Linked DNA regions of Canis lupus familiaris. The protein of the gene in region 1 interacts with the protein of each later gene in a pairwise test. Links are inferred from orthologs where the notes say so. Each region holds a gene or a part of one and is shown in the gene's direction. Other genes may lie near its edges. The genes, in order: FHL2, RAI2, GLYR1, BANP, NIBAN1, NRF1 and CSN2.

What was found.
Region 2: the proteins of FHL2 (region 1) and RAI2 interact in binary tests that used the Homo sapiens proteins (3 or more experiments, as listed by UniProt). The two-hybrid records come from large-scale screens. The link is inferred for Canis lupus familiaris from reciprocal best matches to the Homo sapiens genes FHL2 and RAI2.
Region 3: the proteins of FHL2 (region 1) and GLYR1 interact in binary tests that used the Homo sapiens proteins (3 or more experiments, as listed by UniProt). The two-hybrid records come from large-scale screens. The link is inferred for Canis lupus familiaris from reciprocal best matches to the Homo sapiens genes FHL2 and GLYR1.
Region 4: the proteins of FHL2 (region 1) and BANP interact in binary tests that used the Homo sapiens proteins (3 or more experiments, as listed by UniProt). The two-hybrid records come from large-scale screens. The link is inferred for Canis lupus familiaris from reciprocal best matches to the Homo sapiens genes FHL2 and BANP.
Region 5: the proteins of FHL2 (region 1) and NIBAN1 interact in binary tests that used the Homo sapiens proteins (3 or more experiments, as listed by UniProt). The two-hybrid records come from large-scale screens. The link is inferred for Canis lupus familiaris from reciprocal best matches to the Homo sapiens genes FHL2 and NIBAN1.
Region 6: the proteins of FHL2 (region 1) and NRF1 interact in binary tests that used the Homo sapiens proteins (3 or more experiments, as listed by UniProt). The two-hybrid records come from large-scale screens. The link is inferred for Canis lupus familiaris from reciprocal best matches to the Homo sapiens genes FHL2 and NRF1.
Region 7: the proteins of FHL2 (region 1) and CSN2 interact in binary tests that used the Homo sapiens proteins (3 or more experiments, as listed by UniProt). The two-hybrid records come from large-scale screens. The link is inferred for Canis lupus familiaris from reciprocal best matches to the Homo sapiens genes FHL2 and CSN2.

What each region holds. Positions count from the first base shown.
Region 1 is NC_049231.1:39,049,566-39,053,622, forward strand, and holds the start of FHL2 (four and a half LIM domains protein 2), read left to right. Parts: upstream 1-1,211; 5' UTR 1,212-1,352; intron 1,353-1,647; exon of another isoform or gene 1,648-2,742; intron 2,743-4,057. UniProt on the Homo sapiens protein: May function as a molecular transmitter linking various signaling pathways to transcriptional regulation. Negatively regulates the transcriptional repressor E4F1 and may function in cell growth.
Region 2 is NC_049260.1:13,958,918-13,962,484, reverse strand, and holds part of RAI2 (retinoic acid-induced protein 2), read left to right. Parts: intron 1-2,464; 5' UTR 2,465-2,488; coding exon 2,489-3,567.
Region 3 is NC_049227.1:36,873,211-36,877,415, forward strand, and holds the start of GLYR1 (putative oxidoreductase GLYR1), read left to right. Parts: upstream 1-1,369; 5' UTR 1,370-1,388; coding exon 1,389-1,492; intron 1,493-2,556; coding exon 2,557-2,593; intron 2,594-3,656; coding exon 3,657-3,736; intron 3,737-4,205. UniProt on the Homo sapiens protein: Cytokine-like nuclear factor with chromatin gene reader activity involved in chromatin modification and regulation of gene expression. Acts as a nucleosome-destabilizing factor that is recruited to genes during transcriptional activation.
Region 4 is NC_049226.1:65,737,958-65,742,041, reverse strand, and holds the start of BANP (protein BANP), read left to right. Parts: upstream 1-1,218; 5' UTR 1,219-1,342; intron 1,343-1,943; exon of another isoform or gene 1,944-2,366; intron 2,367-4,084. UniProt on the Homo sapiens protein: Controls V(D)J recombination during T-cell development by repressing T-cell receptor (TCR) beta enhancer function. Binds to scaffold/matrix attachment region beta (S/MARbeta), an ATC-rich DNA sequence located upstream of the TCR beta enhancer.
Region 5 is NC_049228.1:18,054,332-18,058,439, reverse strand, and holds the start of NIBAN1 (protein Niban 1), read left to right. Parts: upstream 1-1,308; 5' UTR 1,309-1,574; coding exon 1,575-1,629; intron 1,630-2,010; exon of another isoform or gene 2,011-2,109; coding exon of another isoform or gene 2,110-2,122; intron 2,123-4,108. UniProt on the Homo sapiens protein: Regulates phosphorylation of a number of proteins involved in translation regulation including EIF2A, EIF4EBP1 and RPS6KB1. May be involved in the endoplasmic reticulum stress response.
Region 6 is NC_049235.1:7,073,122-7,077,458, reverse strand, and holds the start of NRF1 (nuclear respiratory factor 1), read left to right. Parts: upstream 1-1,483; 5' UTR 1,484-1,631; intron 1,632-4,337. UniProt on the Homo sapiens protein: Transcription factor that activates the expression of the EIF2S1 (EIF2-alpha) gene. Links the transcriptional modulation of key metabolic genes to cellular growth and development.
Region 7 is NC_049234.1:60,457,531-60,461,672, reverse strand, and holds the start of CSN2 (beta-casein precursor), read left to right. Parts: upstream 1-1,325; 5' UTR 1,326-1,376; intron 1,377-3,263; 5' UTR 3,264-3,275; coding exon 3,276-3,326; intron 3,327-4,066; coding exon 4,067-4,093; intron 4,094-4,142. UniProt on the Homo sapiens protein: Important role in determination of the surface properties of the casein micelles.

The sequences.
Region 1 (4,057 bases):
CCTGCATTTTCACTACCAACATGTCATCATATTGTTTCTATGTTATTAAATATTCTTCTATGACATTTCCAAAGGTTGCAGTGTTTCCTTCATGGCTATACTATTCCTCATTTTACCAGTCTCGGTTGTTAGTCATTTTGGTTGTTTCCAACTTTCCCCAATTATTAAAAAACCTGCAAGAAATGTCCCTGGAGCTGTATCTCTGCTGACATCCACGATCCTTTCCTTAGGATAAATTCCCAGATGTGGAATGTCTGTCATATGGCAGACAGCTGCTGCCAAACAGCTGACCTCAGTTGTCCTTCACCTGACCCCAGCCATGGCTGAAAAGCCTCCCAGAATTAAGAAATTTAGGGGTGAATCAGGAATTATTGCTACCCCAGATTAGTCCTCTCTGACCTCTTCTAGCATATGGTTTTTTTAAAAGCCCTGGGTGGCTCAGTGGTTGGGTGCCTTTGGCTCAGGGCATGATCCTGGGATCCCAGACTGAGTCCCACATTGGGCTCCCTGCAGGGAGCCTGCTTCTCCCTCTGCTTGTGTCTCTGCCTCTCTTTCTGTGTCTCTCATGAATAAATAAATAAAATCTTAAAAAATAAAAATAAAAAAGCTCCATAAGATTTCTGCATTAGCTCTATAAAGAAAATGATTTGTGGCCCAAGAATCCCCCCAATCATGCATGAGTGGGGGGTGGGAATGGGGAGAGAGGGCCTTTATAAGGAGACTGCATTCCCGGCCTCCCACGTGCCCAGCATGAAGCCGATCCCTTAGAATCTCCCCTAGAATCTTTTTCACCCAAACCAATACCCCTGAAGCCAGGGAAGAGGGTCCGTGTGCTCCTAGCAAGAGGCAGCGCTGACAACCCACAGCACACCCCAGGGCACTGTGTGGCCTGGATGACTTTCCTCCCCCTTCTGTACCACAGCGCCGGCCCTGATCTCGGGGTGGGGGGGTCTCCCAGCATCCGAGCCCCTGCAGCCCCCCAGGGACTCCACCACTTGTCTGACCAAGCGAGATCCCTCCCAGCGCTCGGCTTTCCCCTCTCACTCCTCCTTGGGTTGCTGGACTGTGTGCAAGGCCCAGGGTGTCCTTGAGGTGGGCAGGCCAAATGGGGAGCTGGCACCCCTTCCCATCTGGGGGCCGAGGCTCCTTTAATTTGGATACCTTAAAAGGCTCGCGGGAGCGAGGGGCTGGGTTCTTATCTCTGGGCTCTGGACAGCACCTTATTTATAGCCCTGCTGACACGAGGCGGCAGCTGGCCAGCAGCTGCACACACAGTTGCAGGAGCAGCCCACGAGCGTGGGCCCTGCCTCCCCACTGGCCCCTGGGCTCGCCGAGGGCAGACGACAGGACAGGTAAGCTTCCTCCTCCCCGGGGCCCCTTCCTTCCCTGTGCCCTGTGTCCTCCCAGGCTTCGCTGCCAGCTGTGCGGCCTCCTGCCCCGGGAGGGAGCTCTCTGGCACTGTGCACCTGCAGACCCCAAACCCAGCCCCAGTGGCCTGGCAGCGGGCCCCCGCCTGCAGCCAGCTCCTGCCCGGGGCTGCGGGGCTGTGGGGAAGGAACAGAACCTGGCCCTGGCCGCTGCTCCAAACCCACGGCAGGTGCCTCCGGGAGTAGAAAGAACACGGAGGGAACCCTCCGTTCATCTTACCCTCTCAGACGGGGAAACAGGAACTACACGGAGTTTTGAACACCAGGAAGCTTTTTGTAAAAGAAAAAAGAAAAAAAAAAAAAGTATAAAATAAACATTGGGAGGGGGGAAACCACAGTGCCCTGGAGCTTTTTCTCCTTGACAGAATTTCCGGATGGCCTGGGGTGAGGAGGCAAATTACTGAGGAGTCTGATTAGGCTGGGAAAGTATGTTTATACAAGATGACTTGTTACGGCTGACGGTTCCAAAGTACAGATAGCTGTTGTGTGCTTAAAGGAAATGCATTCACATTTTACTAATTTACTAATTTCTAGAGCAGGATGTGAGCAAATGCACAGTATTGAGTAATGCTTGGGCCAATTGTGTAATAATGTTAACACTGATAAGATGGCATATTCTGATAATAGGTGTCATACATGTTAACATCCTCTAGTCATACTCCATGCAAGGCACCTTATCAGGTCTAATCCAATAAAAAGAGATATTACCAGGCCATTTTTTAAAAATAATTCTGAGGTCAAAAGATAGTATTAACACTTGCGTTATTGGCTGATGTTATTTTATCATGGACTTGCTCTATATAGGTTTGTTCTGGTTTTATTTTATTTATTTGTTTCTTGAGGAATGCTATTTGAATTTTGTTTTATTGCTAGGTTTATAACATGATGTGCTGTAATCAAACCTATTACATTTTGAGATCCATCCAATCTTAGGAGAGTTTTTGTCTTTAAAGCAGTAGCCAGCTACTCAACTCACACAATTACATTTTCGAGGCCTTTTCTGATATTAAGAAAATGCTTCAATGTATAACCTTCATGAAGAGTTGCATAGTTTCCCCTAAAATATTCCCTGACTGCTCACTCAATCTTGCCTGTTTTTGAATGCATTTTGCACTATTAGATTTCTTCATCCCACTTAGTGCTTCTGGAGTTCTCCATTGGTTCCAGATCCTGAGGCTAGGCCACGTCATATTTCTCTCTGTAATCTGATAGCTCTTAACACAGGGACCTACATAGTCTACTGGTGTCTAAAATACTTCAGATTTAAAATAGATGGCCAAGAAACTGAGTTTAAATTGTCCTCTCCCCACCGTCAAAAAAAATTTTTTTCAACCAAATAAATTATAAAGATCTTATTGGTTTTACTCAATGATTCATCAATTGGGCAGTATCCCACCCAGCAGACAGAAAAGGGCTGTGCAGTGTGTACAAAACTGAAGACCTTTACAGACAGAAGGGAACAGGAACTAGGAAGGTACATGGGACAAAAAAAGTGGACTGTTTATTCCAACATTACTTTCCTTTAGAGGATGACAGGGCTCTATCAGGCAGATGACCTAACTAATGCTCATCAGGTGAGTTCTGACTGCTTTAAAATTCCATTACTGGAAGAGGCCAAAATTGTACTTAGGTTAGGTGTGTTTGGTGACGTGGAGCTTAATATAAGTGACTCCATTTGGGGCCTGTTGTCCTGTTTTTAACACCACCAAAGAAAGAGGTGAAATTATATTCATAGTGTTTATATTTTCTTTCATTGTATCTTACTGTACAAATATATGCCAGAAAATACAGACCAGCAGAGAGAAGAAAATGAAAAATTATGTGTGGTCTTACTACATTTATTGTTTATCCTATTTCTTGATTCTAAGAAGTCTTTGATTTTGAGATGAGCCACTAATTTAACACTAGCTTTACAAGAGAGGGAAGGAAAGAACGCCTGGGTGGCTCAGTGGTTGAGCGTCTGCCTTTGGCTCATGGTGTGATCCCAGAATCCCAAGTCCCACATTGGGCTCCTTGCATGGAGCCTGCTTCTACCTCTGCCTGTATCCCTGCCTCTCTCTCTGTGTCTCTCATGAATAAATAAAATAAAAAAAAAAAAAGGTGGGGGGGGGAAATTCTCACTATATACCACTCCACATTGATGTATTTTAGGATGCATCTGAAAACAATAAATTATATGGAGAACTATAACTTCTAATTAAGAAAAAAATATATCATCAGGTCATTTGGTAATCTGCTTTTTGTTAAATTTATGATCAATGTCCTTTCACCAAGCATTCAAACTTTATTTCTTTGAAATTAGTTATCTTTATATGACATTGTGATTTCTTTCATTTAGCCAGAATATTCAAATACTTATAATGATGGGGAATTAGAATGATGGAAACTTAAAAAAAAAACATAAATTAAGCTTTAGATAAGCAATTTTATCAGGATATAACTAGTTGGGTTTTTTAAGATTTTATTTATTTATTCATGAGAGACAGAGAGGCAGAGACACAGGCAGAGGGAGAAGCAGGCTCCCTGCAGGAGCTAATGAGCAATATGCTAATTTCTACACTACTAATGCAACCCACTGAATAGTAAAAATACACAACCATCTTGTGCCTTGATCTACATGACCCCTAAAA
Region 2 (3,567 bases), on another chromosome or scaffold:
AGGACCCCTCTCATAGTGTTCTGAGGATTAAATGAAGTAATGCATGGGAAGTTCTCAGCATTCTTGGCAGAGACCTAGCACGGCACGTATCAAATGCCCAGTGAGTTTTGGCTCCAGCCATCTGTGAAAGGAGCAGGGGCCCTCTGTCCTGGCAAGGTCCCCTCCTCACATTCTGAACAGGAAGGTTCTGGGGGAGTAGGGGCCTAGAACTGGGCTAGGTGGGGAGAGGAGTGAGGTTTCATGGGAAGAGATGAGCGCCACCACCCGAACTGAAGATGTGTGCCAGGAGCAGGGGGAAGAAGCATCGAGAAGTCGGCTTTCTCTGTGTGGGAGGGGACAGGGGTGCGTGAAGGAGACAGAGATGGAGGGAGGCCGTCTCGTTGGGAAGGGCAGGTAGGTGCAGCTGTTACAAGAAAGCAGCCTTACAGCTGGGTAATCCTAAACTCACAGGAAGCCGGAAGATGGCACAGAGCATGTCTTGACCTCTCCCAGTGAGTTGCCTCAAAGGCCACCAGAAGCCACCTCAGATGGGTGGCCATGGGTGTCTTCTCTCACTGCTGCCGTCCTCGCCCTCACCGGCCCCATCCCAGCTTCCCTGTAACCTTTTCCCACCCCTCCCTGGGAGTTCGAGTCACTGTCTCCTGCCTCCTTGATGCCTTCTCTCTCGTGCCAGCAGATCTCTCGCTCAGAGACATGCGCCCCACTGGCCTCTGATGTGTGCTAAAGCAGGAACCTTGTGGGACTGGCTCCTGCCGGCATCCCCAGCCCCCAGCAAAGCGCTGGTGTGCAGTAGGCATTGAGCACATGGAGTGGTTGCACGAGTGAATGGATGCGTGCATGCGTGCATCCGGGAATGGGGGAGCCAGTGGTGCGTTGGAGGCATGATACTTTGTGGTCTAAGCAGGCCCCTTCGGTTGGGGGCAAGCCCCCTCAGCTTCCCCGGAGTGGGCTGCCTCCCTACCGTGCCCTAAAGGTATCATCGGCCAGCCCGCTGGGTCACCTCCTGGTTTCCAGAGGACCCCCTGCGTCTAGGGAGTCAGGCTCCGGAGCCCTCCCTCAGAGGCACCAGGGCTCGCTCTGCCGAGGGGCGTCCCCCACAAAGTTGTTTACAAGGCATCCTTCCCGGGGCCCTCGCCTCCTCCTGCTTCAGAGAAATTCCTTGTTCTGTGCACTTGACACATTTTGATGGTCTGGAAATACCACACAGTTGTTCATTTGTTAACACGGCCTTCCCGTAGTGAGGCCTACTGCGTTTCTTTGCACCCTCGCGGGCTGCTGGGCTGCCTCTCCTCCTCGTGGTGGAGGTTGTGTCGGTATTTGGGGGTGACCAGAGGAGGACGCGAGGTGACCCCGGGACTAGAGTCCAGACGGCTCCAACAGGTGAGGTCAAGATTCTGAGTTGCCCAAGGCCTGCCTGGCGAGCCTGAGGATTATTGAATTATTATTGAGCCCAGCCAGACTCCAGGGCTGCACAGATCCCCGAGTTAGACATGGTGCCTGCCTTCTCCATGGCAACCAGGCTAAATATGGACGCGTTTCCATGGAGAGCCATCTCGCAGTTGCAGCCCTGCTTCCTCCAGGCAGCACCCGCACTGCGTTCCTTCGGCCTCTCAGGAGGCGGCCAGAGGTGCCCGCGATGTTTGTTTCCAGCAAGTCTTCCATCTCCCCGGCCCTAGAACAGCAGCACCCCCCGCTTGACCAGCTAGAAGTTAGGAGAGGTCCCGGGTCACAGACATGAGCTGACTGCGGAAAGCGCCCCTGGGCCCGATGAGCACTCATGCCCTTGTCCCACGTCCACGTCCACCGGCTCCGCGGAGTGGCTTCTCCGTTATGGGAGGGACAGGGGATGGCACCCGGTCGGAGGGAGTCCGTGACACAGCTGCCACGATCCCTGTGGAAATGCACCGCCGTCCCTTTCCTCAAGCCTCCTCGGGAGGAAGCATTGCTACAAAGAGTCTTTAAGATGCTTGCCGTAAGCCGGGTGGCCCTCTTCGGTTCTCTTAGAACGTTCTAACGTGACAGGATTTTATTTTGTTCTCGAAGTGAAGTAAGTCTTCGCTGCCCATTTGCGTGTGGACGAGTCAAATCTGCACACATCTTGACCGTCCGGTAGAGCACCGTGGGACGGAACTTTGTGTTTGGCGAAAGCTAAACATATAAGCCGAGTATTAGGCTTAAAAATACTCTGTTTAACCTCTCTTGGCTGTTTAGTCATTACATCATCTGTGTTTATAGCTTAATCGTCTGTTAAATTGGGCCTCTCCGCGCACAGCTGATCATTTGGGTGTGTTTGTATATATTAGGAAATATCTATAACATGTATGTATACAGAGAGAGATGGGTGTGCTCCCGGTTCACTAAGATACGGAAACTTTTAAGAGACGCGGAGAGAGCGAGCACTTCGGAGGGGAGGGTCATAAATAGTCTCTTCTGGAAGATTCACATCGTGCGTTCCGTGTTGCAGGCCCGGTGGCATCAGAGCCGAGTGATGGATGACCTGCGGTCCCAGAACCTCTCCATGGACATGACCGACTCCTCTCCCGCCTTGGCCAATAACAGACTGGAGAATGGCATGGCCCAGCTGATCACCACCGAAGCCTGGAACATCAACTCCACTGACCTGGTAAAGAAGGCCCTGGTGACCGTGCCGGCCCCGTCCATCCTGAACCCCCCGGCCGAGTCTCAGAGCGGCGTGGCTCTGAAGGTGGCGGCCACCGTGCTGCAACCCCTGTGCCTCGGGGAGAGCCCGGTGGTGATGCCCATTCACATGCAGGTGGAGGGAAGCTCGGCGCCCGAGCTCAACCCTAATGGCAATGCCACCTATGTCATGACCACGCAGGGCCCCGTGCAGCTGCCCGTGGTGCTGGAGCAGCACGTCTTCCAGCACCTCAACTCCCCTCTGGTCCTGCCACAGGAGGCCCCGTGCTCCTCCAGTGCCATCCACAACAACCTGTTCCAGGGAGCCGAGGACCCCGAGGCCCCACCCCAGCTCCTGGACCTGCGGATCCCCAGCCAGCCGCAGGAGCCCACGTTGCCATTTGAAGCCGTGCTCCAGAATTTGTTCCCCTCACAGGGTGCTCTCGGCCCCCCACCCTGTCAGCCTCCTCCTGGATACGCCCCGGTGCCCCCCCAGCCCTTTAACTCCCCGCTGTCCCCCCTGGTGCCCCCGGCCACCCTCTTGGTGCCCTACCCTGTGATCGTGCCCTTGCCCGTGCCGGTCCCCATCCCCATCCCCATCCCGGTGCCTCAGAGTCCTGAATCCAAGCTCGGCTCCAGTTTCCCCAAGCCGCCGTCTTCCTTCGGCCTGCACCCCTTTAAAGGCGGCCAGCCCCCCCTGGAGAAGGAGGAACTGAAGCCCTTCGATCTCCTCCAGCCGAGGGAGTACTTCCAGCTGAGCCGCCACACGGTCATCAAGATGGGCAGTGAGAACGAGGCCCTGGATCTGTCCATGAAGTCGGTGCCCTGGCTGAAGGCGGGCCAAGCCAGTCCCCCCGTCTGCCAGGAAGATGCGGCCCTAGACCTGTCGCTGGCGGCCCACCGAAAAGCTGAGCCTCCCGTGGAGACCCT
Region 3 (4,205 bases), on another chromosome or scaffold:
CGAAGTCATTTCCTGGAATCTCAAAGGTGCTTCCAATTCCTGGCTTGTCCGGAGGACAATACAAAACAGTATAAATGACAGCTCCTGAAACTAACGGGCCGGTACGGTTAGGGAAACTGAATTCCAGGAAAAAGCAGGCTGCGGACAAGCCAAATGGCACCACCACCACCACACCACCAAAACAAAACAAAACGTGCTCACAACCAAAGTCTACAACAAAAACACCTACAGGGAGACGCGTTAAGGATCCGCCACCTTCTCAAGCAGAGACCGACTCTTGAGAAACTCTAAGGTCGACAACACCGAGGCTACTGGGGGCCTGCGACTGGGACTGGAGCTTTCCAAAAAATTGCTGTTTTGTACCCGGGGAGCGGGGGGAAGGGGGGGTTTGAGCTCCGCGCTGGGCTGCTGTAAACAGTTCCCCATTCAACGCCCTGGGCTTCACGGACTCCCAACTACGCGAGCATCTGCCTTCCTGTTGTCACAACAGCCAGCTCCCAACTTCTCTAAAAGTGTCAAACTACAACGAGGCGGACGGGAGAGCCCGGTCCCGACAAAGACACGCACCTTTGTCCCCGGCGCGACGCAGGCTACGGCCCCAGGGGCCGCACTCGTCCCCCCGCGGCCGTCCTCATGCCGGCCCGGGCGCCCGGGCTGCGGCGCCGCTAGCGGCCGGCCCCCGAGCCATGCCTCCCGGCGGGCGGCCGGCCCGCGCCGCGGCCCATGGCTGGGTCCCCGCGCGCCCGGGGCAGCCTCGCCGGCCGTGCCGCCGCCGCGCCGGCCCCGGAGGAAGCGCAGAGACGCCGGGTCCACGTCGGTCGAGCAGCTCGCGACCTCGGGCGGGCGGCCCCGGCGCCCCGGGAGAACTTGAGGCGGCGGGCGCGGGCTCCGAGCCGCTCCCCGGGCGCCGGCCGTTAGAAAGCGCGCACCGAAGGACCCGTCAGACCCCCGGGCGAGGCCGCGCAGAGCCCGCCGCGCGCGGGCCGAGGCTGGCTTCCAGGCCGCGCCGAGGTCCGTCAGGGCAGCCCCGGTGTGGGGACGCGGCCGGCCCCGGCGCGGGGCTAACGGCCGCAACGGAAGCGCGGACGGGAGGGGGCAGGAGGCCAGAGCCCAGAGGCGGGGCGGGCCGCAGGGCCGGCTCCCTCGCGCGCTCGGCCGGCCGCGCCGTCACCGCCGCCTCCGCCGCCTCGGACCGCGGGCGCTTCGTTGTCACGAGCCGGAGGGAGGGGGAAGGAGCCGGGAGTCTCCGGGCTCCGGCGCGCAGAGACCGCGGCGCCTGCGTCACGTGCCGCTGGGCCGGCCAATGAATTGCGGCGGGCGCGGTGACGTCAAGGCAGCGGCGTGGCCGGTGACAGCCGGCCCCTCGTCACGTGGCCGCGCGCACTCCAATGGGCGGCGCCGGGGCGACTTGGTGTTCCCGGCGGCCCGTGCGTCGGCGGTGGTTGGGTGGTAAGATGGCGGCTGTGAGTCTGCGGCTCGGCGATCTGGTGTGGTGAGTCCGGGCGGCCAGGGCTAAGCGAGGTGCGCCGGGAAGCTCCTCCACTGGGCGCGGGGTTCGCGGCCGGCCCCGGAGCTGCCTTTCTAAGCGCTCCAGGCTGCGGAGAGAGGGCGAGACGAGGTGCCGGCGCCGGGAGCGACGCCGGGCGGAAGGGGCAGCCCGGCCCCGGGGGACTGAGGCCGAGAGTGGCCGCGGCGGGCCGGGCTCTGAGCCCCGAGGCCGCCCGGGGGAGGGCTGCGCTCCGCACCTGCACGCCGGCGGCCGCCGCGAAGGGAGTCTCCGGCGCCGCATGCCTCCCCGCGGACGCCGGGTCGTTGGGGTCTTGCTGAGGCTCCCCCCCGGGAAGCGGGCGAGCCGGGGAGCCCGCGGGGCCACCTCGCCTGGGCAAGCCCGTCAAAACTCGCGTTGCGATGGAGCCGACCTGTGCGGGCGACTTGGCCCGGGGTGTCGAAACCGGACTGCTGGCGCTGCCCCGTGAAGAAATGGAAGGGGGACTTCTCCTTTACAGCCGAAGGCTTGGCAGTGACCGCTGCCTTCTTGGGTGCCTCTCGTGGTCTGCTTCCGTGTCCCAGACAACCGCCCGAACCAAGACTGACCGTCGCCGCTTCCCTGGAGCGACGTAGCTCACTTCTCGACCCAGAGGAAGGTTTCCATTAGCATTGTGTCAAAGCCGGGCTGGTCTCGCGGTGAATTAAACCAGACTTTGTAAGGGGAAGTCTGTGTTTACAGAGCAAACTACGCTCCCCCCCCCCCCCGCCCCAAGCCCCCAGTCCTGGGGAGGCTCTAGACCAGTGACTCCTGATTGGTTTCGTTTGTTCTGTATTCCTTGTCGCCGCAAGAATGCACATACCTTATTGCACTTACGCATTTCGTTTCTGAAGAGTTCGGGCTTCTTGGGTCCAGCTGCGGAAGCCAAATTAAGAACTGCTGTTTGCCAGCTTTTGTTTTGGCACTTGAGGGTGCAGGTGGAGAGTTAGGAAAATACATTTCATGTTGAGTGGGTTGAAGGAGATGGACTGGCTTTTCCAGGGCAAATGCTGACTGTGTGTTTTCTCTAGGGGGAAACTCGGCCGGTATCCTCCTTGGCCAGGAAAGGTGAGTGTCTTGATACTAACGGAAGACGTCTGAAGTTGGGTTTGAGAAGGTGAAGAACGTTAAGATTCATTCCTCTCTGTTTCCGGCATTTAGTTAAACTGGACTTAAGTAACACAATTTTTTTCTCTCTACTCTTCAGTTTGTTTAGAAAAGACAGTGCAGTATAAACCAGGTCATTTAATCTGCAGTAAATGCTTATCTCTTGAACCAGAGATGGTTTTGGTGAAGTTTCTTAATCCTGGAAATCAATTCTAATTTGAATTTTAGCCTTGTACTTAAATGTAACAAAAGGAGAAGAAAATAAATTCTCCAGGAAGAGCGGAATCTAAATGTAGGTTAGTGAAAAGTCAAAGTATTTTTGTCCCAACTAAGTTTAAATCTTCTTTCCATGTTACCATATGTGCTGCTCCAGTGCATCTTTGCAGAAGTTGGCATTCCAGATTTTGCATGAGGCGATCCGTCATAGCTTTCCAAATGTTCTGTTTTTAAATTCTTGCTAGGAGCCCAGGATATGTCTTTAGACTGTCTCTTTGCAATATGGCATTTTCATTGCCTCTGTTGTTCTTCATTATTATTATTACCTGTCTCAACTTTTCCTGCACAGTTGTTTTGTTTGTTTATTAAAGCATAATTAACATACAGTGTTGTAGTTTCAGGTGTACAGCATATTCATTCAGTAGTTCTGTACATTACCCAGTGCTTACCAGTAAGCATAGTCACCACCTTATTACTTCACTGAAATATTTTTAAGAGTGTTCTGTGCATTTTTTCAGTGATCACAGGGTCACATGGTTGAAGGGGATTGATATTGATCTTAGTTTTAACTGCTATTAAAACAGGGCCATTGCAGTAGAAGGGGTATTCTACTTACTGAACACTGCTACATGGTACATGTAGGGAACTAGAATATTTGCACATTTCCACACATCTCAGTAGAAACGTGCCAGATTTGGACAGGTACTAGATCCTGGGTTCATTTTAAACATATTCCTTTTGTTTTATTTCATTTTTTTCCTACCAACTTAGAGGTGTGAAAAACCTTTTTCCGCCTTTTACTCCCCAGATTGTTAATCCACCCAAAGACTTGAAGAAACCTCGTGGCAAGAAATGCTTCTTTGTGAAGTTTTTTGGAACAGAAGATCAGTGAGTAGTGCTGTTTGGGAGTTTCACTTTCCCTTTGTTTGGGCGTTGCCCTGGATCTGAGCTGCTTATGAGAATATTCTAGGGACCCTAGTTCATTTTTACTGTAGTCTGTGAGAATGGCATATTGTTCTGGCTTTATACCTAAATATATTCTTAGCTCATAGGAATTGTTCTGTGGCCAATAACAATGTCAGTCAGGTGAGAAATAGGATTCTTTTAAATATGATAATCACAGTAATGTCATTTCTCACATCTCTTTATCCAATCCCATAGTAGTTCCTTTTATTAAAAATTTTTTTTTTAATTTAGTAGTTCCTTTTATAAAGACCACGTTCAGCTCTCTTTTAATGGCTGTTTATCATTGTGGTTCATGTGTGAGATACACAGTGAAATCAGGACCATTCCCTTGAGATTCTCTGATAGGCCATATAAGTCACAGTAAGGAGGAGAATACATATTTACCTGAGTT
Region 4 (4,084 bases), on another chromosome or scaffold:
GGTTTCTAAACCCTGGTTTTGTCTTCTTCCAGCAGTGTGACCTTGCTGAGCAATTTCCCTTCCTCCCAGGACAATTCTCATTTCAATGCGAGCATCTTTTCCAGCACCGATCTTCTGTGATTGTTCTCTGTAATTTCTTCAAGGCACCTTTCCTGTAAAGCTAAGCCAAAGATCAGCCTCGGTAGATCCCCCAAGTGTGCATTCTGGAAGAGACTATTACTAGCAAGGTTGCCCAAGGGCAAGCAGCTCGTTACTGCCTCCAAGAATCAGGTTTTTATCATCGGCAAAAAGGGAAGTAGGCAGGAAAGTTACAGAAACAGTAGAGCATTTTCTTTTCCAAATGAAAATAGCTCCACAGTCTTGTTTTTGGACGACCGAAGAAATTCTTGCCCGTTGTAAACAACTCAGAAAACAAAGGCAAGTGTAAAGAAGAAAACAAAAAGCAGGGTAACCCCAACGCACAAGAAGAGCAACAGTGATACCAGTGAGCAGGAGTAACATTGCCGGATGGTGTGTACAGCCAGTGGTTTTTCCCCACGAGCACCAACAGACCAGCACTTATGCTACACACGTGTAACACAGCCACATGCACACCGCATGTTCGTGTACATACGCACACACAGAGATTACTTCCACACGGGACAGGTCACACCACGAACACACATTTTCCCCCACGCGTGAGCCCTGGGAAGTGTGGTCAGACTCCGGGGACCCGGAGCACCAGCTATTACTCGGGGGCACCCCTTCGGAGTCGCAGCGGCCTCAGGCCCCCCGTCTCCAACTACAAGTCCCAGCAGTGGCGGGCGCGGGCGCCGACGGGAGGCCGGAGTCCGGAGAGACTACAAGTACCAGCAGGCTTGGCGCACACGCCGGGACTACGATTCCCAGGAACCTCAGCTCGCGGCTCGCGCAGAGCCCTCCGGGATATGTAGTCGTCGCGCGCACCTAATTCCTATTCATTCAGCCTCTGAAGAAACGTAAATTCCTCTCGCGGTCCACCGACGCGACTTCTCACGGGGCTAGCGAGGAGACGGAGCGCGCGCCGGGAAAGGAAAGATTCCAGGCCCCAACCGTGGCGCGGCCGGACGACGCGTGCGCATGCTCGGCGGTCGCCGGCGCCGGCGAAGGCGCGCGCGGGAGGCCTGGAGCGGCAGGCCCCGCCCCCTGGCCCGGTCCCCGGGCCCGGCGCGCCCCGCGTGAGGAGCCTGCGCAGACGGGGCGGGGCGGAGGGCCGCGGGGAGGGACTCGCGGCGCCTGCGCAGAGCGGCGGCTTCTCTCGCGAGGACGGACGCCATTATCGCATCTCCCCGACAAACACCACGAGAATTCCGCAGCCCACACGGTAATTGCAGCTCCCGCAGCCGGTCGCGTCTCCACCTCCCCCTTCCCGCGGGGCGAGAGCGAGAGCGAGAGCGAGATCTCCCCTCCTCCCTCCTCCCTGCGCCCTCCTCCGGCCGCCGCGCCCGCGCCCGCCGCCCCCGCCCGGGACGCCCTGCGCGGCCGCCCAACGGCCCGCCGCCTTCGGCCCCGCCGGCGCGCCCCGCTCCCGGCGCCCTCCCCGCCCGCTCTGGCTCCCCCGGCCGCCGCCGCCGCCGCCGCCCCCGCCAGCCGCCCCCGCCCCCCGCGAGGGCCCCGCGCCGCGCCCCGGACGGACCCGGGCACAGGCCTCCCCTGTCAGTCGGCGCCCGGGGCCCGCGGGCAGGCCGCCCTGCGCCCGGTGTGCCCGCCCCGCGGGGCCGAGGGCTCACGGGGAGGGGAGGGGAGGGGAGGGGAGCGCTCAGGCTTGGGGAGTGCGGCCTGGGGTTTGCCTCGAGACCCCCGCCCCGCCCCGCCCCCGGTGGGCGCCCTGCACCGGGCGCTCCTCGAGGACGCGGGGGCTCGGGGGCTGCCGGGGGGCTCGGGGGGCTCGGGGCTGGCCGCCCCTGGCGCCCTCTGCACCGGCTGCACCCCCCGGCCTCGCCAAGGTCGGGGTAGTCCAGGGGTCGCCCCAGGTGAGGGACCCGGGGGACCGCCCGCCCATTACTCCGCTTCCGGACCGCCCTGCATACGAGGATCTAGAGGATCTGGAGGATCTAGCGGCGGGGAGACCGCGGAACAGCCCCCGAGATGAGTCGTCTCTGTTTAGCTTCGTTCTCCCTTGTGTTGCACTAAAGTGAGAACATGTGCTCAGGATGTTGGATTCCGTGGACATCCCGTGGCCTTAGGGTCTGGAAGTGGCTGCCGTGCCCGCGCTCTGTGCTGTGGCTGGGCCTGCGGACCACTCCCAGGGCTTCTCATCGCAGCCATCTAGAGAGGTGACCGGCCACCGGGGTTAGGACACTCGTCCAAGACGCGGGGAGCCAAGGCCTTGAACTCCTCTCTCCGAGGTCCGTGCTCTTAAATAATAATACATCTAGCAGTCATGCACACGGTAAACCCTCAGGGGAAAACTTAGGTTGAAGAGCAACAGCCCCGTCTTACTCCTCAAAGACTTAACATCTTTTTGCTCTTGGGGAAGGTCTCCGTAGCTCTGGAGAGTACCTTGGTATTTTATTAGTCTTACACATTGTTGACATTCTGTTATCATACGATGATTGAGCCCTTCCTATCATATCCCACCTTTTCTATCCCCTTAATTCACTGTGTTCACTTGACTCAGATTGTTTAAGACCGAGCAAATACTGTTTTTCACTTCTACAGCTTTCTGTTTTTTTCTGTTGTTTGTAGTGGCCTTTCTTTTTCTTTGCATTCTCTGTTCCCATTGACTCTTTACGTTGTAAATTATCAAGGGATAAGGTCATCTCTCCAACTCCCCACTCCTCCCTCCCCCCCATCCTCCTCAGCCCTCTGTCCTCTTTTTCTAATCTGGATTGATTACTCAGGCCAGTACAAGTATTCTTCTGATATTTTCCTTTATTATACATCCCAGTTTGTACAGGATTCCATGTTTTAATCTTGGCTTTCTTCATTTCAATATCATTTCTGCCAAATAGTCTTATTCGTTTTGAGTAACTCCTTACAATCCGCTTTGGTGTTAGGACATTTCCAGAGTGCCCTAGGATGTGGAGTCTCACTGTGGATGTTCAGTGCTTCTGGGCGCTTGCCCTTCAGCTCTGGGAAATCCTCTTGTATCTGACAATTTCCCCTGCATTTACTCTTTTATTTTGATGATGGACATCTTGGATTGACCCACTGAATCTTGTGTCTTTATCCTCTTTTGTCATTTTCTTCTCTTTTTTGGGAGAGGGCTTCAAGTTATCTTCCAATCCTGTTTAAAATTTTTTATTTCCACAGTTGAAAATTGATCAAAAACTTATGTGTTCTCCCCGCCCCCCCCCCCCCCCCAGTAGCTACTTGTGAACATATTCTTGATTTTGAGGATACCAACATGGGATTTTTTTCAATTCTTTTGTTCTTTGATTTCTTATTTCCTCTAGTGCCATTGTTGCCTTTTAAAAAATATTGGCTTCATACTTCATGTGGCAAATATTCCTTAAATATTGGTAATTGTTGTTTAAAGCAAGAGGAAATGGGCAGAGAGCTCTGAGTCTGTGGGGCTGGTTTTGAAAATGTGTGGGTCTCCCCTCAAGTCATTGGGAACTTGTTACTGTGTGGGACTTTGAGTGCCAGATTGCAGAGACTTTTTCTGTGGGTCTTACAGCTTAAGACCAGATCCCTTTGATTTGGGATTGGTCTACCTGGTCTAGGGAGGGTGTGAGCAGAAACGGCCTGTGCTCTGCTGAGTGTTCTGGCCTGCCACAGGCTTACCCACTTTGGCTGTACCCACTCCTGTATGCCCCAGATTGTGGTTTCCTTTGCCTCCATTAGATCCTATCAGTCTCCCAGAAATTTGCAAAGTATCTTGTCTGTGTCATATTTTCTTTCTTGTGGGATTGTTATATGCAATTAAAAATTAATTTAATGGGATGAGCAGAGATCACCTTTGTGGCAAGTTGCTCCTTGTGAGCAGGAATTACAGAGCCCGTTCTTGTCTTTCTGCTCTGCTGCCTCTCTTGGTAATGGATGCCATCCGTCAGTGGAACCGATGCCCTGAGCATTGTCCCCGTGGTCATCTCCGCGTTGCAGTGTGGGCGGATGTCGTGTG
Region 5 (4,108 bases), on another chromosome or scaffold:
AGAGGACCAGTTAGGAGTCTGTTGTAATCCTTCAGATGAGAAATGTTGAGGGTGATAGCAGAGGAAGGGGTGAAAAATGGGTAGGTATTGGATATATTTTGAAAGCAGAATGGAGAGGACTTATTGACAGATTAAAGTGTAGGGTGAGAGAGATTGGGTGTGAGGTATGAGAAATCTTGGTGTTAGAATGCTAGTTAATTAACTTTTGAGGGCAAAGCCTTCCAAGTCCTCTTCAGGCCTTGTTCTTGTGTGTACAGACCATGTGACCTTGGAGGTTAAGTCAATAGGAATCACTAAAAATCTGATTACTAAGAATAGGAAGAAATGCATGGTGACCCTCCTGCCCCAGTTGAGTGTTATTTGGGAGAGGTTGCCAAGCTAAATAGTAGTTGTGGGAAAAAGAATAGATGCCTCTTTCTTTCTTTCTTTCTTTCTTTCTTTCTTTCTTTCTTTCTTTCTTTCTTTCTTTCTTTCTTCTTTCTTTCTTTCTTTCTTTTCTTTCTTCTTTCTTTCTTTTTCTTTCTTTTCTTTCTTTTTATTTCTTTCTTCTTCTTTTTTTTTTAAGATTTTACTTATTTATTCATGAGAGACACACAGAGAGAGAGGCAGAGACACAGGCAGAGGGAGAAGCAGGCTCCATGCAGGGAGCCCAATGTGGGAGTCGATCCCGGGACTCCAGGATCTCACCCTGAGCCAAAGGCAGGCGCTCAGGCGTCCCATAGATGCCCTTTCTAATGAACTATTTTCAGTTTGTCAAGGGGGAGGACTGTATCTAAAGGTGCAAGAACAGACTTTGATGGGGTCTTCAGAAGTTTCAGGACTGAGAACATATTGCAGGACCCAGGCTTAGGTTTTTCCTGTTTTTCTCCCCCCCCCCCCCGCCCCCTTCATTTCCCCAACCCCTCCTTGGCCCATCTTTCTAGCTACAGGAAGGTACAGTTTACTGTCGGTTCTCAAACTTCAGCAGGCATCGTGCCTGTGAAAACTCAGATTGCTGGGCCCCACTCCTGGAGTTTCTAATTGGGGTGCAGGGTGTGTGCGCGCAGGTGCGCACGTACGCGTGTGTAGACGGGTCACAGAGGGGGTGCGGGGGCTGCAATTTTTTTGCATTTCTAACAACTTCTTAGGCGGTTCTTGAGGACGGCTGTTGCTTATCCCCGAGGGCGTGCAAAGCAGCGGGGTCCTGAATTCCACCTCGTGGCTCGTCAGTGGGGAAGGTTCCAGCTCCCAGAGGTTGGCAGTCCCTAGGGGAATTGTCCACCTAGCCGAAGGTGTTTCTCGGCTGCCCGTGACCGGCGGGGAGGAGCCGCAAAGGCCGGCAAGGCGACGGCAGGAGCGGGTCTTTCCAGGCTGGACACCCCGCCCCCGCCCCCGAGCTCCCCAGGGGAGCGAGGGCGGGAAGACAGCCCCCGGGCCGGCCCACAGATCCTCAGAGGGCGCGGGCCTGGAGGAGGCGCCCCAGAAGGCGGCGCCTCGCGGAGGAAGTTTCTCCTCTAACTGCAGAGCGGGGTGCGCCGTGGCCGCGACCTCGGGAGCTGTCGGCGCCGCCGGGGGGCACCGCCCGCACCGCCGCCATGGGCGGCTCGGCCTCCAGCCTGCTGGACGAGGGCAAGTGCACCTACATCCGAGGTACGCGGGGGCTTCCCGCCCGGGCCCGCACCGCCGCGCCCACCCGGCCCCCGGGGGCGCGTCGCGCGGGCGCTTCCACCTGCGGCGGCCACCTGCGGGCGCGGGGACCGCGGGGCCCCCTTCCTCCGCCGCCGCCGGGGCCCGGGCCGGGGATGCTCGGGGAGGTGCGGCCGCGCGCCCGCGGGAGGCAGGTGCAGGCGGCGGGGAGGGGGCGCGGGACCCTCGGGGTCGCGGCAGGTGCGGGCCCGGGGTCGCCTCGCGCTCCCTCCGTTCCGAGCTCTCCCTGGACCTGCCTCGAGGGGAGCCGCGGGGATATCCCTGGTTGCTGGAGACTTCCCGGGGGATTCCCGGCCTCTAAAGCAGAATTTCCCTGCCGGTAAGGTTGGCCTGGTTTTGCAAAACGACGCGTCGGCCAGAGCTTCACTGGAACTTTCGGATGGCTTGTGGGATGATTTCATCAGAAGCAGAAAGGACCGTGTCATGAAGCTCCCAGGTTGTACGGTTCCTTTTCCCTTCCCGGAGATGGGGGCAAGGCAAAAGAGGAACATTGGCGTATTCCGTTAACAGTTGCTAAAGTTATAGATGGAGACAAACTCATTTGGGGAGACTTCCAGAGATACGGTGACTCACTACAGGCAGGAAGAAAAAAAAAAAAAAACCCAACAAACTGAATTGAAACTGCAGAAAATCATGACTCTATCTCCTGGGTGTACTTGGCCCTGGTCCCTTCCTCCCTGGCAACCTTGTCCGCAACCACTACCTAACATTGGGTTATCTTACGAATTTGGTAATTTTCTATTTTTAGAAATACCTTCTAAACTACGTATTGAGCTCTAAGTTTTACCCCAATTCTGTAAAGAAATGGTTAAGTTCATCCTGTTTAGGTTCTTCTCTTTCTGGTCCCTGAACCTTTCCTACAAGGAAAGCATTTATTTAGTGTCCTTATTCCATATTTGTTTTCAGTTTAAAACCATTTTCAAAGGATATCAAATCAGGGCACTTGAGAGCAACATAATTGACTTTCCAGATTCTTCCTCCTGCTCTGGTGCTTCTGGAGGTAGAGGATCATCAACAACCCATTGTCAGGGGATAAAACTTGGACAGGTATTCTTTTGCTGTCGTTTATTTAAAATGGGAGAAAGATGGATGACTTATTTATATTAGCAACACAGCTAAACTAAGGCCGCCTTGAGTCTTACAAATTTGGCTATGTGCTCGTTGTAAGGAACGGAAAAAACTGTAGTAGGACATAGTCAGAAGGGGTTTGCATTCAGTTATTTGCAAAGTATGGTTATGCCATTTATTTTAGAAGACTTTATTTCACCACGAAGCTTAAAAACACCTAACGTTGAATCGTGGCCATCTACGGTAATAATTGAAAGTCCAGCAATGTAAGGGATTCATGTTTTTGAAGACTTCATGGTCATGACAGTTGTTGCTGCTGCTGCAAGCACTGTATTCATGTGAAGAGAAAATATGTTAGCTTTTATTTTATTGGGAAATTAAATGATTGTACATACGAAAGTATGAGATGGCTAGTGCACAAGAAAGACTTGTAACGGATATGCTCTGAATGAATAAAACTATTGCAGATTGGATAACAGTCATTACATCCACAAGTCTTGTTCAATTTTTATCTTCTTATTCTTTGGGAGAGCACTTTCAAGGTATGTAGAGGCAGAGGGAAAAGAAGAGTTAAAGTTAGAATACCTCCAGAGAAACTGAGACGTTGCCTCATTTGAGAATACTAGTCTTGCCAAAAGAGAAAAGAGCATTGGAAAAATGCATGGCGTTCTGAATTGTTACTGCATGAGCACATGAAGGTCATGGGGCTGTGATTTCCTGATGGTTTTGAAGCCCCAGATCCCTGAAAAAAAAAAATCATCCTGTCTTCTCCACTTTGCCCATCATTTAGCCCATGCATCTTCTCAAGTTCTGATCTAATTGTAAACAGAACAATTGAAAATATGACAGTAAAGTTTAGATACAATTTTATGACCTGTTTCTCATAAAGTGGCTGCCAGTAAACTGTTAGAGATTTGAAAGCTCCTAGAGCTGATTCAAGAACTTTCCTTCAAGCTTGATAAACTTTGCTAACATATGGAGAATAACTAGTCAGTATATTTGGAGTGAGTTTTGTTGGCTTAATCTTGTATGTGTTAAAGCAGCTGTACTTCTGGCATGCTAATGAGTCTGAATCAGCTTTTACTTTTAGACAAATCATTTAACAGCTGCAGTTTAGTTTGTGTGCATCAAAACTTGTATTAATAGGGATGTTCGTCACATGGCTGTTTCAAAAATACATTATTTTTTAGGATTTAGTAAATTTCTGGGTAAAAGGATATCAGAAGTATTAAGGAGTTACTTCATTTCTAAAGATGCTTTGAAAATTACTCCCACACTCATGTTTCTTACCACAGAATACATTTTTAGTATTGCTTCTAGAAAATTTCAGTGACTTCACTTGATCAAGATGTTT
Region 6 (4,337 bases), on another chromosome or scaffold:
ATGTGTGTAAAGGACTTAAAATAGGGCCTGACACAATAAGCACAGGTGAGAATTACTGGGTATGATGATAGAAGAGCCAAAGCGCTCATGTAGGGAGATGGGAAAATGTTTCTTGGAGGAAATGGCATTAATGTTGAGGCCTTAGGAAGTAGCAGGAAGTATTTAGGTTTAAGCAGGTAACGAGAAGGACTAAAGAGTAAAGAAAGTTCTGTGCAGAGAGAGCAGCCCTTGCAAAAATTATGAGGTGGGAGAACTTCCTGCCTGGTATGACTTGAGAGCTTCCTGATTTGGCTGCAGCCTGAGGGAGAAGTCTGTGGCAGATGAGGTCAAAGATGGCAGCAGGGGTGAGGTCACCAAGGGCCCTGAAGCCAACTCAAAGAATTTTTAGAGGCTTTAACTTATGAGCAATGGGATCTTATTAAGCCCAGTAAGTGGGGGAAATGACATGATTTTCTTTTTTGAAAGACTGCTCAAGCTACAGGGCGGAGAATCTATTGGAGAGCGCAATTCCTGTGGCAGGGAGACCATGAAGTCTTCTGCAGTATCTTGATTAGAGATGATTTGGTAGCACTATCCATGCATCCTAAGGCAATGGTTCTTAAAATTATGGCGTTCATGAGAATTGCCAGGATGACGTGTGAGTAGGGGGCTGTTAAAAATTCAGTTTTCTGGGCTAACAAGCCATGATTGTGGAGACACCAATTCGGGTCCAGAATTTAAGTAATCAGCCCTAGTGATTCTGATGCATGTAGTTTCCTAAGCACGCTTTTAAAAACCAAGAACAAAAGCTACCTGTCCTATGCCTCTAACATTAGATTTTCTGCTACCTTCTCCTCCTTCGTTCTCAGGCACCTGCTTGGGGGTCCTATTGCTTCTGACTCCCTGCACACGTACAAACTCCTTGGGAGCAAGGACTTCATCTTTCTAACAGGTGCATCTCCAGCGTGCCCAGAACAAGACTGGCACAGAAAAGGGCCCTCTAGAAATGTCTGCCAAACGAACGAATGAGCAGATAAGTTAATATATTGCTCAGAAGTTTTAGAAGTCAATATACATTTTTTTGCTTTTAAATACCTGGTTAGGGTTTGGGAAACAAAGGTCATTCCAAAGAAAGGGTGAAGGCGCGACTGCCAAGGCTGAGGAAAACGCGGGGAAGCCCGTTCCCGACTGTCGAGGCTCATTCAGGAGGTGCTAGAATTCTCGGGGCTGCGGGGCGAGAAATGTTACTATTTCCAGATTAGCAACCATCTTGGGCTGCCCGCGCCACTCTCCCGAGAGTCCACACTTGACTAATCCAGTTGCCTCCGAGGTTCCGGTCCCATCCAGCCCCTTCAAACTAAATGTGGCCTCCAGGAGACCGCACGGGCCGGCAGGGACCCTCGCCCAGAAGCCCCTCCGGGCCCGCCCCGCCGAGGCAGCGCCGACCTCCCCATCATGGCGACCGCCGGGCGGGGAAGCTGAGCCCGTGCGTCGCGTGCGTGCCTCCTCTCCCTCCCCTCCCCCTCCTCGGCGGCGGCGGCGGCGGCAGAGGCGGCAGCGCTCGCCATTGCCGCTGGTGGCAGGAGGCTGCGAGGAGCCGGCGCGGTCGCAGTCTCCACGGCGCAGGCCCACGGTAGCGCAGCCGCTCTGAGGTGAGTGCCCTACCGCGCAATCTCCAGCTATTTCAGCCCCGGCGCAGCCGCAACACGCCGCCCGCCCGCCGGCCGGCCGGCCCGCCCCGCAGCCTGCACCCTGCCGCCCCCGGCTCCGGGCCTGGGCCTCTGCCGGATTCGGCCCGCCTCGGGCGGGGGGCCCCGGCCCGGCCCAGTCAAACCGCCACCCCGAGGATGCGCAGGCCGCAGTAGGCCCCAGGCGTCCTGGCGGGCTCGGGAGGGAGGCGCTGCCCTCCCGAGAGCCCCAGGGTTCCGGCCTCCCCCGCCGCCTGAGGCTCTGGGGGCCGCGGCCTACTCTCCACCGTAGAACCCGGGGCCCGGGCCCGGCCTTCCCGCGGGCTCGGGAGCGGGAGGCCCGGGAGAGCGCGCCGGGCCCGGGAGCGGGAGGTGGGCGGGCTGCGCGGGACCGGAGCCGCGGCTCCCCGCTCGCCCCCTCGGCCCTTCCCGGGTCTGGTCCGCGGGCGGCGCGGCTGGCTGGGCCGGGGCGCGGGAGCCGCTGTCTTCTGCGGGAGAGGAGGCAGCTCTTCGGGCGGCCTCCGAAGCTTCCCTCCCGCCGGGGTGGCGTGGGCTTGTTACCCAGGTAGACCGGGGGACGCTGGAATATGGCGCGTTGCCCACCTTCTTGCAAGTTAGGAGGCGGCCCGGGCAGCAGCGGCGGCAGTTCGAGGGAGGGCGCAAAGTCCTTTTGTACGCAGAAATAAGGAGCGACATTGTGTTTTCTTCCCCAGCTGGGATACCGCCGGTGGAGGGGCCTCGGTTCTTCCTGTGCCTGGGGTGGTGGTCCCCTGGGTGAAGAGAGGGGGAGTGGCGCGACCCTCGGAAGGAAACGAACTGTTGCTACTGTAAAGGCTCTGACTGGCCTTGTGCTTGGGTATTATCTCATAGCCCCAGCCTTTCGGGGGAACTCAAGGGTTTGCCCCTGCATGTTGTCCACCTCGCTGTGCAGTGATGTCCACCGCCTGTCTCACCTGTTGGGTCGTTGCTGCTGGTGCCAAAGTTTCTACAGGGCATCTGACTGTGCACATCAGAACTTGGAGTTGTTTGAAAATCTTAATATTTTTAGAGCTTCGAATGATAATATGCTCCAGCCTGTTGGAGGAGCTGTTGCCTGATCTCCATCCATTCTTAAGCGTTAGATTAGAATATATTAATTGCTTACTTAGAGCTGGTGTCAGTTATGCTTAATTCTTTTTGTGGTGAGAGTAAAATTCACATTTTCTTAAGTGTGTAGAGACAATGTTTTTGAAAAACTGTTAAGGTGAAGGCAGTGTGAGTGAACCTGTCAGCTTGGACAGAGCTCAGGAGAATGGGTTCGCGCATCTCACCTTTTTTCCCAGGGCATCCTCTGTGCCCACAGTGATCCTTTTCTTATTTCATGTCCAGCCTTTTAAACAAGAATGCTTTACTTTGGCATTGAACAGTAAGTTCTTGGGTTGTTCTTTACTCAAGGAAAGGTGGGAGGAGGGCCTTGGAGACCCCGAGTTTTTGTTTTGTTTTAAAAATTCAGTAGTAGTATCCAGATTTGTGTTTGAATGTTCTTGATGTATTATCTCATAAGGTAGTGAAAATATGACTAGAATCTGCACGAGTGTAATTTCCTTATTCTATGAGCAGGAGAGGAAACATACAATTAACACATGTAATGTATATATTCTGGGGTTCCTAAATTGTGTGCAGAACTGTTTGTGTCAAAGGACTTTTTTTTTCTTCTTCTGACAGGAGTTAGATGTGACTTTCGACTAGGTCCATGACAAAGACAAAAAATAAGACAAGAAGTACTACTTACTATTTTTTGGCACATCCTTACTTAAAGTCCTTTGATTTCATCCTATCTGCTGTTTCCCTCCCCCCATCTCAGACTCAATGTATGAGAGAAAATGACTTTTTGCTTAGTAGTTAGTGATCATATTCTCAGCACCCCCACCCCCCCAATCATCTTCAGGCCAAGAGTTTTCATAGAAGTAGATTTCTTAGGCGATTTTAAGGAAATTTAGCTCTTGGATTTAGGAAATAACTCTAAAAGCAGGAGATAATGAGAGCACTTATCCAGATCTAGAAGGGATTAAAGAAGAAAGGATTTCAGGTTCCTCTCCCAATTCATGTGTATTCCAATGGAACCCAAAATTGTCGGTTTCTTTTTATTAAATCACAAATATACTTCCATCTCTAATTTTGTTAGGGAGCTGAAGACAAACTCCTGGTGATTTAAATACCTGAATTTGCATTGTATACTGTGAGTTCAAGCAGCCCCCTGGGTTGTTTTCAAGAAGTATTTTATGTGAAATAATCACAAATGAGTGACTGTTTTAAGGGAAATTTAAGCTCCTTGGGGGTCTGGAATTAAATTTTTTATACTTCTTATAAATAATGCATTCAGTAAATGTTGGGGAATAATGATGAACAGTAATTTTTCAAATTAAAAATTTTTTCATAAGTATTTGAAAAGACATTGACTTGGTTTTTGGAAGGGCCTTTAGAAGCACACCCTCCCTCCAGTCCTATGGAGAACAGGAAGTTCTTGCATATGTTCAGCTTCTGTCAGATCTCTTTAGGCAATCCCAGTGCTTTGTGCTGCAGTGGTCTTGTTCATCCACTTCGTGCCACTGTGAAAAATGGGAGAATTGGAGTGTAAAGCGGGAACTCTGGGTTGTTGAGTCTCAGAAGTGTCTGCTCTAACCTCAGGAA
Region 7 (4,142 bases), on another chromosome or scaffold:
TTCCAATGAACTATGTCACCCTGCATAATTGAAATTCAAAGGCATTATGATCTGACTCCATCAAACCCTTGCAATAGTAGTTTTATACTCTCTGCCTTCTACATATCCTGAAGTACAAATCCCACCAAATGTGGTATTTTTCTCTTCAATTCCTCTTTCCTTCAGCCAAAATACTTTATTCACATTTTATCATTTCTTAAAATACTACTTATTCTTTTCAGGTCTAACTAAAAGCACAGCTCTTTAATAACCAATTCCCCTGCCCACACTCATCACCAATGCCCCACTCCTCCAATTCAAGCATAATTAAATCCTACACATTTAAGCACAAATGCTACATTAAGAACAAGTTTTATAACAGAGTTTATAAAAGGAGTTAAAACATGGACACTGCATATGAACAAACAGAAATACATGTAGTCAGACAGATCTAGTTTTAAGTGGTATCTTTGCAATTAACGAAAATATGATTTGAGCAAGTTACTCAATCTCTTGTCTCAATTTCTTCAACCAAAATATGGAAAGGACAACTACCTCATGATATTTTTGTAAAGATTATACAAGATAATGTCTGTAAAACACATAGTGCCTGGAATAGGGGTATAGTAAGCATAAAAAATAAAGGTTATTATGCCTGAAATAGAAAAAGGTAATATTTATCAGGTAAATAAGTCTGCATGACATTTTACAAAATTTTTGTTACAGATTTACCAAGAATTTTCACTGTACCAGCTATCCAGATAGATTCCTTTTCTAAGATGTTTCATTACAGAGGAAAATTTATTCCTCTTGTGTACACAATGTTGAAGTGAGAAATTTATTCTTCCCAAATCAAGTAGTTCTGGGAGCTTAGCAGTTAGCCTTACATGACTAAACTATCATCATGGACTTGTTATCTTGTTATTTTCTCCACTGTAGCATGAAACACCAACAACTGCTTAGGTTGGCGTGAAGTTGTGGCCTCTGTGAAGTCCCTCGTATGTCTGATATTCATATAGAAATCCCCTCACAGTTAATATCTTGAGGAGCCACGAGGGCTGAAGAGACTTAACTGCATCCACAATAAGTTGTGGATTGGGCCAGAGCCTCAATGTCTTCCAGTTATTAGACAATTACATTTCCTGGACAGATTTCCTTTATTGGCTTGTGATTTGCTTTCTTGTTAAAATGCTCCTCAGAATTTCTGGGGACAGATAATAGGCAGAAATCATATTCTAATCATGTGGACCTCTTGGAATTGAAGCTGACCGTTGATTTTATCTCAAACCGCAAAATTAGCATACCACCAAATACAGTATATAAACCACCACAAAAGCAGACAGACCATCATCCACTTAGCTTCCCCTTCACTTTCTGTACTCCACCTTGGAAAAAAGGTAAGAATTTCATATATAAATTTTATGTATTCTCTCTTCACTTTTATTTCAACTAGGCTAAATTATATGAAGAAAATAATTGCTTAAAATAGGATCTTTGAAATAAGAGTATTTAAAATAGCACTGACACTATTTTCAATACCTAGGTTAAAAAAATAGAAAGATCTAAGAACATTTGATAAAAATTATGAGTGCAAATGTTTTATGAGTCTAAAAAATGTAGTAATAATGATAACCATTTTTAATACAAAGCCAATGAATAAGCTATATTAAAAAATCTACTTCTTGAATTAATAAATCTTCCAAGTTGGTTAAACATACTAAAGCAATAAAAGAAAATATACTTAAATTGTTGGTTTGGGATATGAATAATTAATGGGAAACTTTTACCCAAAAGTAGTTTTAGAGGTAGCATATTGAGTCAAGAAACTGCAGAATTTGTTTGGGGATATGCACTACTTGAAATGTTTATAAATATTTTTTCAGAAATATGTATTCAAATTTATTTAGTGTATCCAACCTCCCCCTTTATCATTTGGTTTATAATAGCTCAAAATATTGTTAAAATAGACATAAAATACAGAATTAAGTTAAAGGGAAAATGTTTTTACTTTGGAAAAAAATTCCAAAAAAAGAAAAAAAGATGATACAGAGATGACTTGAAACTAAAGCAAAAGAAAGAGAAGATTTGAAAGAAAGAATACTATAGAATACATTGGTAAAAAATGAGGTTCTGGCTAAAAAAATTAATATATAAAATGCTAATTAGAAAATATAGAAAATGAAATAAGATTCTTCCTACACATTATGATCTCTAATAGAATGCTATATTCTTTTTTGGGGGTCCTGACAATGAGAAATTATTTGGAAACTTCTGAAGCTCTTAGGCAAAGTAAAATTAAAGTTTATATAGTACCCATGAGAAAGATCTAGAAAAGAAAATCTTTTTCTGAAGTAAGAATAATTTTCAGACTTCAAATATTGGAAGGGATATTTTGCAGATGAATTAGGGACTTTTTTCATGAGACATTTTTAGTTTAGAAATTTGTTTAAATATCTGAGATTGAAGATTGTATGCCAAATGATATTAGTGGTACAAACATTATTTTGTACAAGCAATTACAGAAATGCAACAAAATCAAGCATTTAGTACATTTTGGTTAGAAACTTTAACATATATATCATGTTATACTACAAGAAGAGGTTGTTTGAAGTGGGGATTGGGCAAGGGGACCAGACACTTTGGTAAATCATCAAGAAATCAGAAAAAAAAATACAGTGTACAATCTCTAAAGTTATGTGCACAAAAGAGAGGAGGCATTATTATATGGAAATGACTAAACAAATATTCATGGAAACCATTGGTTTAGTAAAAAGAAAAAAAAAGATAAAAGAAAATATAATCTGCATATACATTTTCTTTGATCAGTTACCTCCTGATAGAACTGAGGCTTTATCAAGGCTGAGACATTTGTTTGCTGCTATCAACCCAGTACCTAGATAGTGTCTGGCAATAAAAGATGTTAAATAAATATTTTTGAACAAATGAATCAATTAGTAAATATTTCTGTAAATATTTATAACTTTTTTTCTGTCCTTCCAAAAACCCAACTATAGTGCTGTGAATGAGATGAAAAAGAGTGAGGTAGGGTAATGGTAATGGATGAAAAAATATGAATGGTATGAAAATGACATGTAAGAGTAAAGAGCCACAGTAGATTTTGACCTTGCCCGTATGATAAAGCATCTATTAGTATTTTTTTCTAAAATACAGGGTTTTTTTTATTACATATTATCTTTAGTTTCTTTAAAAGGAAAGTAATCCTAGCTAAATTAAGAAAATAGCTTGACCAAGGTATTACCATTCTTCCATTTCCTCATTGACAGGACTTGATAACCATGAAGGTTTTCATCCTTGCCTGCCTTGTGGCTCTTGCTCTTGCAAGAGAGGTAAGCAAATGTCTAATTAGGATAGAATGGAGTATCTACCTATGTGGAGAGAAGAATATCCTCAACATTTTTAAAGTACAAATAAAGCAGAATTTCAACAGATTTATTTTGACTTCCTGGAAAATGATTTGCATGACACATTATTTTGACAGTGTGCAATAGGAGCACAGATTTGGGTCAAATGGTATACAGTGGTATATACTGTGCTATCAGTCCCAAAAAGAAAAGCAAATGGACAGATAAGCAAACAGACAAAACAAAAATAAATGGATATAAACATGACAATAATAATATTGCACAAATATGATTGCAGGCATGTGCACCCTAGATAAATATATCTTATTCCAGTAATAAAATATATGTATCTTTACCTTATGGCCCTGGGCCCAATTCTACCTGTGTTTGTCCAAAGACATTTAGAGAGAGGATGGAGTATCACACGATAATCATAATCATAAATATATTTGTAATAATAATAAACTGTTTAAAACAAATTATAATAATTTTTTTCTATTAGCCATTAAAAACGTTTATTCACATAAGAAGAAAATATATCAATAAAGTTACTAAATATAAAAGACATAAAAATAACTACCTTTCAAGTCTTTCAATATAGCATTTTTTATTTCTCAAGTTTGTGAAACACATAGCTCTGCATAAAGAAGATAAAAATCATATAGGGAAAATGTTTAAGAATGAGTTAACCATGGAAACTAGAATGGTATTTTTTTCTGTTACAGAAGGAAGAACTCACTCTATCCAATGAGGTAGGATATTTTTATTCACAAAAAATTTCCAACCATAAAATATTAACAT